Linked DNA regions of Cricetulus griseus. The protein of the gene in region 1 purifies or fractionates together with the protein of each later gene. This does not show direct contact. Links are inferred from orthologs where the notes say so. Each region holds a gene or a part of one and is shown in the gene's direction. Other genes may lie near its edges. The genes, in order: Cdca5 and Pds5b.

What was found.
Region 2: the proteins of Cdca5 (region 1) and Pds5b purify together in Homo sapiens (affinity purification with western blotting; 4 studies listed by BioGRID and IntAct, with this or other methods). This does not show direct contact. The link is inferred for Cricetulus griseus from reciprocal best matches to the Homo sapiens genes CDCA5 and PDS5B.

Annotation. Positions count from the first base shown.
Region 1 is NC_048596.1:53,261,778-53,266,101, reverse strand, and holds the start of Cdca5 (sororin), read left to right. Parts: upstream 1-1,366; 5' UTR 1,367-1,502; coding exon 1,503-1,548; intron 1,549-1,730; coding exon 1,731-1,822; intron 1,823-1,908; coding exon 1,909-1,974; intron 1,975-2,054; coding exon 2,055-2,090; intron 2,091-4,324. Other genes in the region: Zfpl1 (zinc finger protein-like 1), read right to left, coding at 335-446, 723-832, 1,157-1,304. UniProt on the Homo sapiens protein: Regulator of sister chromatid cohesion in mitosis stabilizing cohesin complex association with chromatin. May antagonize the action of WAPL which stimulates cohesin dissociation from chromatin.
Region 2 is NC_048597.1:86,600,234-86,604,045, forward strand, and holds part of Pds5b (sister chromatid cohesion protein PDS5 homolog B), read left to right. Parts: intron 1-1,287; coding exon 1,288-1,426; intron 1,427-2,948; coding exon 2,949-2,984; 3' UTR 2,985-3,812. UniProt on the Homo sapiens protein: Regulator of sister chromatid cohesion in mitosis which may stabilize cohesin complex association with chromatin. May couple sister chromatid cohesion during mitosis to DNA replication.

The DNA of each region.
Region 1 (4,324 bases):
TCTAGCTAACTGTAATGCACGAGTGAGGCTTCCTTTCTGTCCAGTCTTGGAATTAATAACGTTCCCCAAAAATGGATCTTGCTCACAGCCACAGATCAGTCATCTCCAGCTCTCCAAGACTGGCAGAGCAGGAAGGAAAGACACTGAGGCTGTGGAAGGGACAAGGCTTGATTAGGCTTACGAAGCAGGGAAGTACCTAACAGATTTGGGATCAGAGGCTCTGGCCTCCAGGTTTCAGAGACTTATTGTCTCGAAGCTTGAAAGGTGCCAGCAAACCAGTCTCCAAGCTGGATCCTGGGGCTGCCCTGACCCCTTCCCAGTGCCCAGGCCTTACCATAGCAGACAAGACGGGTTGTCTCTCGACTGGTCAGGGGTGTGTTGCACAGGCGGCAATTGGGGTTGTAGTCACTATCTTGTAGCCACTGCAAGTAGGACTGCACGATGCACTGGAGTGGAAAAGAGATGTCACAACTGGTGCCCAGGCTCTACGATTAATATACTACTCCAAGGCCCAAGTGCCTTGTTTCTTTCATCAGATTCATTTTGTGTGTTTAGTCAATGAACACTTACTGAGCACCTACTGGAGGTCTAACAGAGAGCAACATAAACCAAGTCCTTGCCCTTGTGGAGCTTACAATCTAGCGTTGAGTCCCTCATGGATTTGGAAGGAGACTGGCCTGCCCACCCAGTGCCCTGCTCAGCCACCGCTCTGAACGTCCCACCTTGGCGTGATTGGCTACCAAGCAGTGCTCACAGACGTTAACTCGATGTTCGAAGCAAAACAGGTTTGTCACCTTCCTCTTGGGGCACTTGCAAAGGCCCATGACCGATCCTAGAGAGAGGATCTGAGTTAACAGGAAACCAGGTTCATGTGATTGCCACTTTGTTCTTACCAACCTAGTTCGTTTTTTTTTTTTTTTTTTTAATCTCTCAGACCCGTCCCACACTAGTCCTCAGCACGGGTACGGCCACGCCCCCAGCACAGACCGTACTCATTCCATCAGGACCCAGCCCCTAGCCAGATCTCTCCATCAATTACTCCAATAACACCAGCCCGCCCCTAAGACCCCACCCCCTCCTGACCCCACCCCCATCCGGCAGACCCCATGCTGAGTCTCAGAGAACCTCCGCGGTACCGGTAGCGACCGGTGCGTACTGTGGTGGGAAGCGCAGAAGGTCGGAGACTGTGTTGACCCACTCCGGTAGCTGAAGCTCTGCTCCCTTCGGCTCCAGCCGCTCTGATTATCCCTCCGCTGCCACGTCTCTTCCGGGTGCGGCGCGCTCTGATGACGCCACAGCGCCATCAGGCCACGCCTCTGCCCACGCAAGACGTAAACCTGAGACGACAAAGGCATAGTCCAAGGGGCAGCCTTCTTCTTGCGTCACTTCCGATTCCGCCTTCCCGCTGGCGGGTGATTTGAACGTTTGCAGGAACAAACTTCCCGGTTGGCGCGAGCCTAAGTTGGCTACGGTGGTGAAGGAGACTGAGCCGGACCATAGATATGTCGGAGCGGCGAACGAGGTCCGGAGGGGCCGCGCAGCGGCCTGGTGAGTGGAGGACGCTCGACAGCCGTAGGGCCGTGTCGTTTGGACAATGAAACTTAGCTCCCGGGCAAGTTGGAAAACGGCGTCAGCTTTTCCGAACTCGTCAAGCGCCTGGTTTCGTTTGGTTTTTTATTTTTTTCCTCGAACAAAGTTTTGCTTATCTTTAAACATATTTCCCTTTCCAGGACCCAAGACTCCATTTATTAAGTCTTCGAAGAGGTCCCAGCGGAAATCTGGCTCAGATCTCCCAAACATCTTTCCTGAAATATGGCCGAAGGTGAGATCCGAGTTCCTCAGGTACTGACCTAATGTAAAGCTTTGAACAAATGTAAAGCTCATGGTAACCCTTTCCCCTCTTTTCAGACACCTCAAGCGGCTCCGGTCAGAAAGGCTATCATCTTGAAGAAGATCGTGGCTCATGCAGTAGAGGTGAGGGACTAAAAGGGATTTGAGAGTGAGATGTCAAACCGGCTAAGCTGTTGATTGATGGGTTGATGTTATCTCTACAGGTCCCAGCTGTCCACACACTTCGAAGGAGTCCTAGGGTGAGTTCAGTTCCACCTGCTTATTTGTATGGGATCCGGTTCTCCTTAGAAAAAAGGGTAGACATACTAAGCACCACTTCCACCCAGGCAGCTGAGAACAACTTGCCTCTTGACACCTTTATGAATTGTCACTTTAGATCTCACTGTGTAACACTGTTGTCCTGAATTGAAAGTTGCTGTAGACCAGGCTAGCCTCAAACTCAGAGATCCAACTGCCTTGGTCTCCCCAGTGATGGTACCAAGGATTAAATGAGTCCATGCTATCAGGACTTTCCTTCATTTTTAGTTTTTAATGTTGTTGGGTTTAGTTTGTTTTGTTTTGTTTCTCAAGTCAGGTTTTCTCTGTATAGCTCTGGAACTCACCCTGTAGACTAGGCTGGCTTCAAACTCACAGAGATCCACCTCTGCCTTCCTGAGCTGTGCACCACCACCACCCAGCTAAGTAAATGTTTACAAAAAGGAAAGAGTAATTCTCAGCACCCAAATCAGATGGATGTCAACCATCTGTAGCTTCAGTGTCCTCTTCTGGCCTCCATGGACACGTGCATACAAAATACAAACTGTAAAAGATGAGTTATATGCTGGGAGTTGGTGGCGCACGCCTTTAATCCCAGCACTCAGGAGGTAGAGGCAGGCAGATCTGTGAATTCGAGGCCAGCCTGGTCTACAAAGCGAGTTCCAGGACAACCTCCAGAGCTACACAGAGAAACCCCATCTTGAAGATGAGTTGTATGTACATGCTTTTATAGTTTTGGTAGAACTTTTAAGGACTTTTGTCATTTGTCTGTGAACACCTTGTTTTTTGAGATAGTGTATTAGTGTCTCATATAGCCAAGCCTGGCCTTGAACTTAGTGTATAATTAATGCTGGTTTTGAATTCCTGATTCTCTCGCTTCAAACACCCAAGTACTGGAATTACAGCTGTGCATCTCTATACCCAATGATATTTTGTTCTTTGAACAAGGTTTTGTTATTGAGTTGGTCTGATTGGCTTGGTACTCTTTGAGTAAGATGGGCTGGCCTTGAAGTCAAGGCTATCTTCCTTCCTAAGCCCCAAGAGTTCTGGGATTATAGTCCCTAGTTTGATTTCTTATCCTGATGTGTGGTGCTGGAGGTCAATCTCAGGATATCACACATGCTAAGCAGGTGCCCTGCTGTTGAGATAATCACAGCCAGCTTTTGAACTGAGGTACTGAGAGAGTAAAGCTGGGATGTCATAGAAAGATTTCTCTAGGAGTATGTGAGTGATTTCATTGCAACCCTGGGACCAAGGGGAGAGCCTTGAGTTAATATGATTAGGCCCCAACTAAGATAATGGCTGGACACATGTCCTATCACACCTCCTCCTGGAGAGCTTCCTGACTACTATAGTTCATTGACCCATTTCTCTGCGGTTACTTTATCATCATCTAGTAGAGTACTTGCTTACATGTTTGATATCTTTCCCTCTAAACATAACTACCTTAAAAGTGAGGACTTCCAAATTCATGGCCAGCCTGGTCTACATAAAGAGACCCTTTCTCAAAAAGTACAATCTGGCAGGGTGTTGGTGGTGCATACCTTTAATCTCAGCATTGCAGGGGTGGTTTGCCGAGGCAGGTGGATCTCTATGAGTTCGAGACCAGCCTGGTCTTCAAAGAGAGTTCCAGGACAGCCTCCAAAGCCACAGAGAAATCCTGTCTCAAAAAACTAAAAGAAAAAGAAAAACAAACAAAAAAAAAAGTAGTACAGTCTGGGTGGCTGTGTGGCCGCAAGAGGATGGGGATGTAGTATTTAGAGGTGGTACCACTTCTGATGGCATCCTTTTGTTTTCAGGACAGGGTTTTTCTGTATAGCCCTGCCTGTCCTGGAACTCACTCTGTAAACCATGCTGGCATCAATTCATAGAGGTCCTCCTGCCCCTGAGTACTGGATTAAAGGTGTGTCCAACCACACCCATCTGTGTTTTTTGTTTTGTTTTTTGTTTTTGTTTTTCGAGACAGGGTTTCTCTGTGGCTTTGGAGGCTGTCCTGGAACTAGCTCTTGTAGACCAGGTTGGTCGAACTCACAGAGATCCACCTGCCTCTGCCTCCCGGGTGCTGGGATTAAAGGCATGCACTACAACCACTCACCTTGTTCTGCCTTGCTTTTTTTTTTTTTTTTTTTTTATTTATGTATATAACATTCTGCCTCCATGTATATCTGCACACCAGCAGAGGGCACCAGATCTCATAACGGATGGTTGTGAGCTACCA
Region 2 (3,812 bases), on another chromosome or scaffold:
TCATCTGATAACAGTTTTAAATATCTCACTCCTGTAATTCACCTTTTTTTCTAATATCTGGACATCATAAAGTTAAGGGCTCAAATGGTTGTGATTTTCCTTCAAGTTTCATAGCTCTTCCCATGAACATTCAAAGCCTAACTATATCTTTTTCAAAATCAGGGCAGAAGGAGACTTTTTGTTCTATCTTATACTTTCTGGACAGTTCTTTTTCAGAGCTGAAATAATACCATGTTATAATTTGTGTTTTGTGTTCTAACTGTAATGTAATTGAAAACATTATCATTATCATCCATGTAATTCTGTATGGTGGCACATAACAGACAAGAGCAGGTAGGCAGTCACTAAGGAGTCACATATATATGTCTGGTATATGTCCTGAAAATATTTAGGGCGTTATAAGAGAATACAGTGGAAGGACCTGGGAGTTGGGAAAGTTTTCTTTTTGGAATGTGTCGGTGAATAGATTACTTGAAAATACAAGGAGAGATGAGATGAGATGGTTCAGTGGTAAATACATTTGCTGCCAAGCCTGACTGACTGAGTTCAGTCCCCAGTACTCACATGGTAGGAGAGAACCAATTTTCTCAAGTGTCCTTTGACCTCCACAGGTGCACTGTGGCACACATGTTAACACATAGTATATAAATACAAAACAGAAGTAGGAGATAGTAGGGAGAAGACAATTTGGATTGGCAGAATACTATAGTTGAATTTTCTGAAGGTGTGAAAAAGTTGGTAAATCCAAGAAACTGGAACAATCAGGGGATTTACTGGATTGTAACTGCCAGGAATAGACTGGTAGGCCAGGACCATCTGAAGGAACACACAGTGTTATTCTCAGGTCCTTGCAGGGGTTTGTGTGCAGCGACACCACCTGTTCTGTTTTTGAAGGTCATTTTGTAAAAAGGAACCGTCAGAGGTAGCACATCGGTGGGGAGGAGTGAGTGGGTTCATTTCCTCTGTGTAGTTTTGGAGGGTGAGAGGAAAGGTGCACAGTTGTACTCAGAGGATGCTGCTCAGAGTGGCTTAGTGGGTCAGATGTTCTGTGATGAGGAGGAAGGATGAAGCAGGCATCAGCTTCAGGTTGTCATGAAGTCCTTTGTATAATCTGTTAGAGTATCACAGTAATGCTTAGGATCAAGATAGAAATTTATTTCTTATGGTATAATTGAGGATAAAAATGACAAGAATGCATACATGTGCTATTTTAGGATATTTCTTCCAGTGAGTTAATCTACAACTTAAGATCGGAACTCTCATTTCATTTAATGTGTTTTGCTTTAGCCGTGTAGGACGCTCCAAACAGACAGCTACTAAAGAAAATGATTCGAGTGAAGAAATGGATGTGCTTCAGGCCAGCTCTCCTATCAGTGATGACACTGCACAGGAAGGAGCAGAAGAGGAGGACATTTCTGCAGGAAATGTATGTACTTATTGAAGTGTCCTGTGTGTTGTTACAAAGGGCACAAACAGAGCCAATAAATGCTTAGTCAGCTCCATTTAGCACTTGCTATGTATTGTCTGTAATTCTAGATATTTGTGCTTTGTTCATTAGTTTGTCGTGTTACTTACTTACCAGCTTGAATTATGGGAGAAACAACTCTGAGAGGAGCTTGAATAACCATGACGGATGTTGTAATGTCTAGTGAACCTGTCAGCTGAATGTTGAGTGGTGTGACACTGGTATCTGTGAAATGTTTGTTTCTGTGTTAGAAAGCAGAAGAAAGCCACACTGACTAAAACTGAATCTTGAAGTAAACTCATCCTTCAGGATTGAAGTGTGATCTGGCTTTGTATTGGCACTGGGTGCTGCTTCTGAACTTTGTTCTTGTAGGGAATAAATGGTGGTGCTAGTTACCACATACTTCTCATTAGAAGAAAATAAAATTAACACAAATAGCCGTTTTCTTGACACATTAATGCAAAGATTTTTAGATCAGCTCAGTTTTCTTCATCTGGAAAACTTGAGTTTGGTCAGTTCCCAGAGCTGGCCTCTGCAGGTTGCTTCTGCTTAATATGTTCAGCAGTCCTATCTGTCCAGTTTGGTTTATATGAGTCTCACTTGAAGTGTCTCAGAGCCGCTCTGCTTTGTTTCGTAAGGACTTTGAGGAGAGGGATTTGAAAGGAAGACTGAATCATCCATAGTAATGGAGAACAACTGTATGTTAGGTCGGTTCTCTTAAAACCCTGCTCCTTTTACTTATGCTGTTTTTTGATTTTTCGAGTCAGGGTTTCTCTGTTGCTTTGGAGCCTGTCCTGGAAGTAGCTCTTGTAGTCCAGGTTGGTCTTGAATTCAAAGAGATACCCCTGCCTCCCGAGTGCTGGGACTAAAGGCATTCACCACCACCGCCTGGCTACTTACGCTGTTTTATACCAATGTTGTTGGATTTGTTTTGGTTTTTGTTTGGTTTACTTTGGTTTGGTTTGGTTTTTTGAGACAGGGTTTCTCTGTTTAGTCCTGGCTGTCCTGGAACTTGCTATGTAGACCACACAGGCATTGAACTCACAGATTAAAGGCGTGCGGCACCACTGCCTGGCTCCTGACCTTATTTTTTAATCCAAGTTTTAAGCTTCTTGTAGGCCTTGCTGGTAAATGGTAGTATGTTTGAACTTGAGGTTGTGTAGATGTCACTGCAAGTGTTGGGAGCCAAATTCACTAACCTCTGTCTCAAAATGGCCTAGTCCAAGAGTCAAGTGTGTTCTTTGCCACAAAAAGTAAGGAGAAAGATGATCAATCTGAAGATAATTGCTTGCAGGCTTTTCCATCTGCAGACATCCTAGAGGCCTAACTACCTGAAGATAGGAAGAAAGAGGGAGACAGTTTTAGGGAAAAAAATGCAAAGAAATTCAGAAGTGTGCAAGAATAAAGATTGTGTTAAACTCAGTGGTTGTTACTGTGAACGTGAATGTGCTCGCCTTAGTTATCTGTTGACTTTTCTCTTCAGGTACGACGGAGAAGTTCCAAACGAGAGAGACGGTGAACATGCCAGAAACTTGCAATGTGAAAGCTTTGGGGGAAAAACATTTTTTTTTTTTCCTTTGGTCAAGTATGAGGCTAAATAAAGCCTTTGATGCACAAAACAGGACTGCCAAAGTGTGGACAGTTGGACCTTTGACCATGAATTTGTGGTCACATACGTCAGCCATTCACATAGTGATAACATTGACTAAAAAAGAGTTTTGTGAAAGTGTCATGTGTGATGGCTGTGTAGACATAAACTAAAGAAGAACCCTGTAAATACGCCCTCCCCATTTCTGACTTCTAAAGTGCTTGTATAGCTTTTCTCTGCGGCTTTAAACTGACAGTGCCCAGCTGCTTACTGGATCTCTTGATCTGAGAAGCATTTGTTAGGATGGATCTCAAGCAGTAGTCTGTCAGGGTTTGTATTTGTATTCTCTGCAATTTTACTGTGAACATTGGTTTTTTCAACAATTGGTGTCATTTTCTTGATGTCACTGTTTGTTGGAGTTAAGTAGTCTCTTCCTCTCTTTGTATCTCGCCTGTGTTTACCCAGGGCACCCTTCATCCCGAGAGGTGCTAGAGCGTCTGCCATTACACTAGAGCAGCGCAACTGTCAGGAGGACACCACACAGATTGTGAAATAGTCCTCAAGTTATTTGATGACTTTACACCTCAGTATTGGTCCCAGAATTTTCTGGCCTTTCATGGCAATGAAAATTTTAAGAAAGAGATTTAAAATATTTTAATTTTAAAGAGTGTGTTATAAAATAATGTACTAAATTCTTTATTCCATTCTATCATCTTTTTTCAGTTTATATTAATCTACTGTATCAATAAAATTATGTAA